2 linked regions of the Ovis aries genome follow. The protein of the gene in region 2 purifies or fractionates together with the protein of the main gene of each other region. This does not show direct contact. Links are inferred from orthologs where the notes say so. Each region holds a gene or a part of one and is shown on either strand. Other genes may lie near its edges.

Region 1 (4,405 bases), on a different chromosome or scaffold from region 2:
GGGCAGCAGGCCTTCTGTGTAGGATTTATGTACTGATAAAGGCAGCCAACAGGTACTGAGTACTTTACACTGGGCACCACCCTAGTACCTTACGTTACTGCATTCAGTTCGTACACCCTTACAAAGTAGGTTTTGGTACTTTTTTTGTTCTACTCATTTAATAGGCCCAGGAAAGAGAACTGGAATTGGAATCCAGGCATTCTGGTTCCAGACTTTTTTAACTACTATGCATTTTTGAGTAAACAAGACACTTTTTAATTTGAATTCAGCTTGCACCTGGGCAGTAAGACCAAAAGAAATCTAGAAATTGCAATGACATCACCACCTGCAGCCTGGAGGACCTAAAGGTTCCTACTTGGATACAGTGATCTGCTTGGCTCCTGGCCTGTGCTGCCCAGCCTCGCTGGATAAAGAGGGCACTCAATCCTATTTGTCAAATCAATGGCCCCACACATGCCACCTGCAGCTGTGCTCTTAGCACAGGGACTTAAGCGGTCTTCTGTGTGCAAATGGGCCTTGAAGATTCTGGTGACTGGCTCCCTCCCATGTGAATCCTGGCCAGGCAGGTTGTCTGGATGTGCCTAGGCGGGACTGGCTTTGTGAGCATAATCTCATATAGGACTCCCAGCAAGTCCTGAGGTTAGCCATTATGGGAGTAAGAATAATCTTTCCACCCTCTGTTTATATGCTTTTCTCACAAATGGCAAGACCAATGGACACCAGATACAGTGTAACAAGGAGAGCCAGTCTGGGTGGGAGAGGCAGGCATCCAGGGCTCAAGTCCAGGCCAGACCAAGCAAGGTGAAAGCAGTAATAATGATACAAAGTTGATGTAATTGTTTAATGACACAGGAAAATAAGTTATGAAACAAGATGGTTACAAATACAGGGTAGAGGATCATTTAACTTCACTTTTGATAAGAAAAATTAAAAAGTACATATACAAAACACTGGAAGATTAAGTATCAAAATATTAACAGTATTTACTTCTGTTCAGTGATTAAATATTCTTCTCTGCTTTTGTGTACTTTTTGAAACATGATTATTTCTGAAACAAAGAAGTCACTGTAAAGAGAAACAGGTATTAAATGCCAGGAGTCCAGCAAACAAGGTCTGAAGCCCAGCACATGTCCAGCAAGGGGGACGGTGGTCAAGCCCAGATGTGGGATAGTATCATTCTTTTCCTACTGGAATGCTGTTTACCAGACTTGTTTCTTCGACATTTAATATTCTTAGCACATTTAATAGGAATCTGAATATTAACTGGTACAACAGTAAAATGATGTTAGCAACTTTGGTTTTAAATTACTACAAAACATGGTAACCATTTTGTAGTTATAAAATACACTAGAAATAAGACATCAAACACACCAGAAATCAAAAATTCCTACAACAAAAAACCCCATCTGACTAAACCACTGACTTTGCTATTCTGCTGTGTGCTCATTTTTAGTTTTCATCATAAATCTATTTTCGTTTCACGGATCTGGAAGAGGCAGTTTTCCTCAAAAAGATGCTTTTGCCTTCTAAATACTGTTGGAAGTATTTCAAGTTGGAAGGACTCACCAAAATTGAAACCACTTCAAAGAAACAAACTTGCCTGAGGAGTGGCGCCGTTCTGTGTGCCTCAGTCTGCTAAGCTACCAAATGCAGAACAGCAGAGACTACACTTGTAAGTGAAACTGAAGTATCTGGGACTTCCCCCACCCCTGGTGGCTCAGAGGTTAAAGCGTCTGCCTGCAATGCGGGAGACCCGGGTTCGACCCCTGGGTCAGGAAGATCCCCTGGAGAAGGAAATGGCAATCCACTCCAGTATTCTTGCCTGGAGAATCTCATAGACGGAGAAGCCTAGTAAGTGACAGTCCATGGGGTCGCAAAGAGTCGGACACGACTGAGCGACTTCACCACCACCACCACCCTCAATGTCAGGACTGCTAGAGGCGCTTTATTCAAATAACAATGACAACCCGTATTTCTTACTCCTGAAAAAGTAAAATGGAGAAAGGCTCATTGTTTTAAAGTCTGGCATATAAAAGCCCAGTGCTCCCTTAACTGAAGGTGCTTCTTAGGGATTTTCCAAAGCTCTCTGCCCTTTCACACAGTAATATTTTCAGGAGGGGTCAAAAAACTACTGTTAAGATCCAAGAAAAAACTGAAACCAAAAAAAAAAAAAAAAAAAAAAACAATTGAGACAATTTTTCTGCACCCCCACCACCTGTCCAGTGTCTGGTCATCTGCCCTTTCTGGCAGGCTGACACAGCAATCCAAGTCACAAAAGGTTTCAGACACTAGGAAAGCAAGGTACCAAAAGAATTACATTAAAACAGTAACAAGTTTGGGGGAAAAAAAAGATTTACACTTAGAAATATCCTATCATCACAAAGACTAGAAAGATGCCTTGCTTTGCTCTTGGGCAATCAAGACATTGCAACCTGTTTTATATCCCCAAAAAGGAGACTCATTGGAAACCTCAGTGCCTGTGACCCAAGTCATCTCGTACTCGTTCAGTTCAGTTCAGTTCAGTTCAGTCCAGTCGTGTCGTTAGATGAGTCCAAATCCTAAAGTAACACAAATTCCTTTCTTACAGCAAGAAAAAGAACATCCATTTCAGGACAAAGATATGTCTTCAGTGAGAAAACTGCCTGCGGTCAGATGGCTTCTTGCTTATGTGTTTGAAGATCTTGGACTTCTCGACTTTCTTGGCTTTCTGGTAGCCAAATCCACCGCCACCGCCTCGCTTTCTAACTTTGCCGTCATTGCTGTTCACATCTAAAGGGGGCATTAAGGAAATCCAACAACACAAAGACAGACAACTCCAAATCACCACCCAAGGGAGAACCAGTCAGCTGTACACCAGGGGCCCCACCACCCCTCCTTGAGCTACCACAATGTGAACACTCGAATCAGGAGTGGCCACATGACTGGGGGCTAAAACTAGCAGGTAGGATTTTTAAACCCAGTTAATACTTAACATATTACAACTTGCCTGGCTTGCTCTGCCACTCAAATTCCATGTCCTTTCTTAAAGCCATAAACTGTCTCATCTCTGTCGTCTCCACCCTGACTACCCCATGCAAGCACTGACACAAGGTCAGTGACTGAGATGACCACCTGGGCCCCAGGCCTCAGCCAGAGCACAAGTCAACCTGAGTGCTAAGCCCCAAAGCCCCTGGTCAGGCTTCTGGCCCATAGTTCCTGGACAAACTCATAAGCACACAGAAAAGGATACTCAAATCAACAAAAGGAGGCACCTTGAAGCCAAACGACAGAGCAACTTGAGGCAAATTTAAGTTATTAACATTGAAGATCTGCTTCAGGGAATGGGAATCATAGGCGCGAATGTATGACTTATATGCTTCCTGGGCTGACTTATGAAGGAAGTAGTTCTTTTCAATCAGTTTTTCAAGCTGAAACAGAAATAAATATTGGCTTTAATACAAGAAAGCACAATTCATCTATAACATGTGTTCCAAAACACTTGCTCCAAGCTTTGTACTGCCTGCAAAATCAGGGTGCAGTAAGAATAATGACAAAATTCATGGAAGGTACAGAATGAAACCAGGTAGACAGTATAGGAACGTGCTCACCAGCACTGCAGGACACAGCAATGATCACTCAAGTCCAGACTTCCCACTTTATGGAAAGGGAGGCTTGGAGGAGAGTGACTGTCAATGAGACTACAGAGGCAGGGCTGGGATGCCCCCCGCCGCCCTCCACCCCTCCCACATACCTGAGACTGAATGTCAGAAATTTTGGACCAGGAAAACTCAAATTCACTTAATGGAACCTAGAAAATAAAAGCATGCAGGTTAGAAAGCTGGGTTGGTCTGACGCAGCTCATTAGTCACTGAAGAGACGGAAGGGAAAAGGCTTGTGGAATTTCAATTTCACCTGTTTCCCTGTCTTCCAATGCCAGTGGGAGAGGTGCACCTTTCCTCTCCTAATGCACACTGAATGGAACCCTCCACAAAGAAAAGGTATGAAACTGAATGGGGCAATGATGCACTGATGCCCTCTTCTCTAAACATCTCTGTAGTGCAATGTGATGAAGCAGCTTTTAGCTTCTAGTTTACAGAACCACTAGCTCTTCTTTCAGTGTTGGGAAACCTGCCCTGACACCACACTGCCCTGTGACGGGGGTCTGTGACACCAGGGTTTCTGAAACTGGGGTTTGTGACCACTATCTCCTACGGGAGGGATTTCTTACCAGTCATCTCTTATGAGACAACTGGAAAAGTGCTCATGCAGGTGCTGGGGAAAAAGAGCAGCCACCCAAGTCCCAGGCCCTGCACCCCTGGAGGGAGACAGGTGAGTGGGCAGACAACTTGATAAGCACCTGTGCTGGGGGCACACGAAGGAGGGATGAGATCAGCGACGCCCTCCCAGAGGAACCAGGAACCAGGTA
Region 2 (4,516 bases):
GCATCACACGCAAGACATGCTCTCTTTAATGTCCCAATGAAACGCAAAATCATTTTTTCACCCCAATCTAAGAGTGACTTTTCAAATTCATCAAATTCAAGGACTGTTTAACAAATATCCATCATAAAACATCACATACCATGGTTATGTCTCCAAAAACAATCACTGAATGTTATGCATACAGGGATATAACATCTCTCTCAATGAGCCTATAATTTGAGTGTTAAATTCCAAAACAAGTTTTAATGCAATCTGAATTATTCCAGACTTACAGAAAATGGCAGAATTCTAAAAGATCACACTTTTAAATACAGTCTGTGGGCTCCTTAGCCTAAGAAAACTGAATTGGTACCCTCTACAACAAATGGCAACCCACTCCAGTAGTCTTGCCTGGAGAATCCCCTGGACAGAGGAGCCTGATGGGCTACAGTCCACGGGGTCGCAAAGAGTCGGACATGACTGAGCGACCTCACTTACTCACTTACAACAAATTCTGTGAAGCATATTTTATTTGTATCAGAACTGAATCACTACATTACAGAGCTCCCTTCAACAGCTTTCTTTCACACAATACTCCTCAAAGTTCAAAGAAGGAACTGTAGGACTGGGATAGTGTTGAGTGGGCTTCACTCTACCCAAATAGTTCTGCTTTATCTGTTTTGTATATTAGACTTTCATAAAAGATTTATTTTCAAGAAAAGTTTCTGTAGCTAAAAACAATTTGATAACCACTGTTATACTAATGAACAGTGAACACTCACTTTAATATTGTAAATTGGATGAATATTCTTCATAGTGTCTAGGACTACTTTCCGAACCTGAAATTTGCAAAGAAAAATGAATCAGTTATTTATAATGAAGATTTTAGTGAACTAGGTAGAAGAGGATTAATATATTGCAAAATAACCTACGAACCAGGCAATGGCTACGAAATTGGATATACTAGTCCCTTCAACTGTTCTGAGTGGCTTCTGGATCTTTCATAATAGTTAACCTCACTTGGATACAATGAAGTCTCTCAATTCTACTGCTAAAAAAGTGATACGCAGAATTAACACAACAGTCTGGAGCTGTGCAATTTAGGGAAAGAGAGCTGGACTTAGAGTTAGAAAATATGTGAGCAAATGCTGGGACTTCATAGAGGAAAGTCACTTAATTTTCCTCCTGACTTCAGCTTTTGAATTCTGTAATACATTTGAAATAAAACCACCTTAAGGATCTGTTGTAAGAATTAAATAATATACTTAGACTCCACAAAACTATGAAATACTCAAAACGCCTAAGTTGTTGTTGCGCCATGTGAAAAAAGCAGATACTTATGAGAAAGAGGTCCAGAAGAAGTATTATTAAAGGCCCTGGAAAGGAAGTAAGAGCTCACAGCCAGATACATACAACAAAAGCCTCAAAAGGAGCTTACAGAAACAGTATGTGCTCTATAGATTTTCTCATAACATGTGACAAACTAATATTCACGAAACATTAACATATTAAAACTCAAGGAAAATACATCTTAAAAGAAGTCTTCTGGGCCTGACCTCTACTGGCTGTTACTGCGAAGAACAGATCTGCTCAGTTCTCCAGTCATTCAAACCCATGTGTCTTCTAATGTTTGCTACAGACTGAGAGCTTAAAATACCCACTTAAAACCTGTAGTAGGGGAAGTAATGATGAATTCAGAAATGAATCTCTCTGTGGTTACCAAAAGTTAGCCGTGATATGCTAAGGTTCAGCAGTGGCTATTCCCTCAAATTACATGAAGAATTTACTAATGAAAATCAAACAAAGCACAATTCACTTAAATTACGAAACAATACATTATCCAATGAACTATTATAGTATACCCATATTCTTTCATTTATTCTCTGCTAAAACTAATTTAAGAGCATAAATCTCACCTCTTTCAAGCCACTAAAAGGTCCAATGGCTGAAACCGTGTTTCCCTGAACCATAATGTAACAGTTTGTCAAGAGTTCCAATGCCTATATCAAAAGAGCAAAAAGTTGCACTTCAGTACACTGAAAAACTAACAACAGAGGAAGACATACTTTTTCACTAATAAAAAGTACCTTCAAAGTAGATCCTTTGGGACCAATAAGCCGTTGTCTTCTTTTTACAAATCTTTCTTTATTTCTTACTAAAGAACCTATTTTAATGATGTCACATGCAACATCATCCTGAAGAATTCGTACTGCCTTTTGGGAAAATGAAGAAAATAGCTCATCAACATTCTTTACAAGTACAAATGTTTTCCAAGCCAAGAAATTAAAGCACAAAAATGAAAACGTTTTAGTGGGGAGGGGGGTGGCGGCAGTGATATATGTTGTCTCTAATGTTGCTGCACATAAAGCAAAGTCTAAATTTAATTCTAAAGTTACCTGTTCAAACGAAACACTCCTGGCTAACAGTTTGATTAGGTCTCTGGCCCTAATGATGATGTATGGATCGAATGTCTTCTTTGTAGTACAGACAGTCATGCTGCCCTCAATCAGGTCCAGGGTTGCATTAACATGCTACAAAAGGAGCGAACAACAGTTATCTGAAGATGAATTCAATTTTAGATGATTACAGAGCCTGTCCTAGCCTAACTATTAATTTCTGTGCCATTAAGATATCTCAAAATCCTTTAACTCTCTCCTTGAAGAAGCTGGAAAGTTAATGTAAATAAGGGATACTTGATTACGTTTAGATTTCAAAGAATATAAGAAACTCAGGTAATTGAAAACATTTATAGTTGGCTTTAGGATAATTTACACTTACTGGAATAAATATTACCTCCAGTCTAAAAAAACACATCAATCAAAATGAGGTCATACTTAAGACTTAAAGGTAAAAATGTAAAGCTTGTAATTTCGCTACCCTGGCTAGATGTTGCTCTAATCTAAAATCTTCCCCCTAGAGTGAAAATAGACTTTCCCTTTCAAACTCTCCCCTGGTGGCTTGGCAGTGAAGAATCTGCCCATCAATACAGGAGATGCAAGAGACGCAGGTTCGATCTCCGGGGTGGGAAGATCCCCAGGAGAAGGAAATGGCAACTCACTTCAGTATTCTTGCCTGGGAAATCTCATGGACAGAGAAGCCTGGTGGGCTGCAGTCCATGGACACAACCGAGCAACTAAACAACAACAACAACATTAGCTAAATACAAAGTAAAAACAAACTGTCATAGGTTTAAAAATAAAAGCAGTAACTAGAGAATCTATGCATTAACTTTCAAAAGAACCAGACTTCAACAAAGCAAATAAAAATGCTATTTTCTAACTTGTGAGCATGACCTCAAGAATATTTCAATACAATGAATGATGAACAATTAAACATAAGGTCAGGTGTCTATCAGTTTAAACACACACACACACAGAAACAAATTGGGTCTAATCCCAGATATAGACAGCTCTAAAATATGGCCTGGTTTGCTAACCACTCTCATGCCTGGTGGGCACAAATGACTCTAGAGCAGTCCCACAGCTGAGAAACAGATTTTCAATAACAACCTAGGGTGTACACAAACACACAGAGACAAACCAAACGCTTCATAAAATGATCCTTATCCTTACCACATGTGATTTTTTTTTCCTAAGGCTCACTATAGCCATTAAATTGACTTCCTGATTCTCTAAGGGGTCTCAATCCAGTTTGAAAAATAAAATCAAATACACTGCTCTAGGAGCAAGGCAGGAACAACAAACAGGAAAGTCGCTCACATCCATCGTCTTTCGTTTACAATAAGATGTTAAACAATGCCAGGAGCATGCCTCAGCTCAAAACCGCAAAGGTGGACGGCAATCATCACAGCAGAGAGTAGACACTCTGAAATCTGGAGATTCCAAGTGAGGTTCAGACACCCCTACAAATTTAAATCCCCTAAAAATGTAAAAGCATGTGAATTTTGCCAAGTAATCTGTTATTCACAAAACTAAGAACAAATGAACAGTAAGGATAATGCTTATCTAGTGTGTTTAAAATACCAAACGCATCAAATTAAACAGCTATGCTAGCACCTTTACACAGAAGTCCATCATCACACATTCACTCACTTAAAAGATACAAGCAATAACAATCTCAGAGCAATACAGAAAACATGCATACATGTTCATTCAAGGCTTTCTGTACCAACGGCCAGCACTCTTTCAAGTAAGCCTCTCTGTATTTCGGAAACAAAGTTGCAAAACTGCTCTCCTCCAGGAGTCCTCTGGGATTGTCCTCTTTGGAGAAAGCTGGCTCCTTCCAACCATCCGGAACAGTGAGGAGTTCAGATTCATCTACAGAGGAGGGAAAATCTACACATCAGATTTAACTTCTTTTGAAGGTTTTTGAACACTTGTACGCATACATGCACAAGTTTCCCAATACTCTCATGCATTTCCTTCTTCCCTGCTTTTTATATTATTCAACAGTCCAAGAACATGCCTCTGTCATTATCAACATACTGTATTAGAATTATCTGTAGTATGTGTTCCAGTCACGTCACAGACAAAGTTCCTTGAGGGCAGGGACTCTGCTCCTTGGGTCCACAGTTACT

Evidence for each region.
Region 1: the proteins of KRR1 (region 2) and DDX18 purify together in Homo sapiens (affinity purification with mass spectrometry; 3 studies listed by BioGRID and IntAct, with this or other methods). This does not show direct contact. The link is inferred for Ovis aries from reciprocal best matches to the Homo sapiens genes KRR1 and DDX18.

What each region holds. Positions count from the first base shown.
Region 1 is NC_056055.1:183,037,729-183,042,133, reverse strand, and holds the end of DDX18 (ATP-dependent RNA helicase DDX18), read right to left. Parts: intron 3,788-4,405; coding exon 3,731-3,787; intron 3,408-3,730; coding exon 3,230-3,407; intron 2,770-3,229; coding exon 2,627-2,769; 3' UTR 828-2,626; downstream 1-827. UniProt on the Homo sapiens protein: ATP-dependent RNA helicase that plays a role in the regulation of R-loop homeostasis in both endogenous R-loop-prone regions and at sites of DNA damage.
Region 2 is NC_056056.1:111,527,409-111,531,924, forward strand, and holds part of KRR1 (KRR1 small subunit processome component homolog), read right to left. Parts: intron 4,257-4,516; coding exon 4,084-4,256; intron 2,511-4,083; coding exon 2,376-2,510; intron 2,193-2,375; coding exon 2,067-2,192; intron 1,980-2,066; coding exon 1,896-1,979; intron 819-1,895; coding exon 762-818; intron 1-761. UniProt on the Homo sapiens protein: Part of the small subunit (SSU) processome, first precursor of the small eukaryotic ribosomal subunit.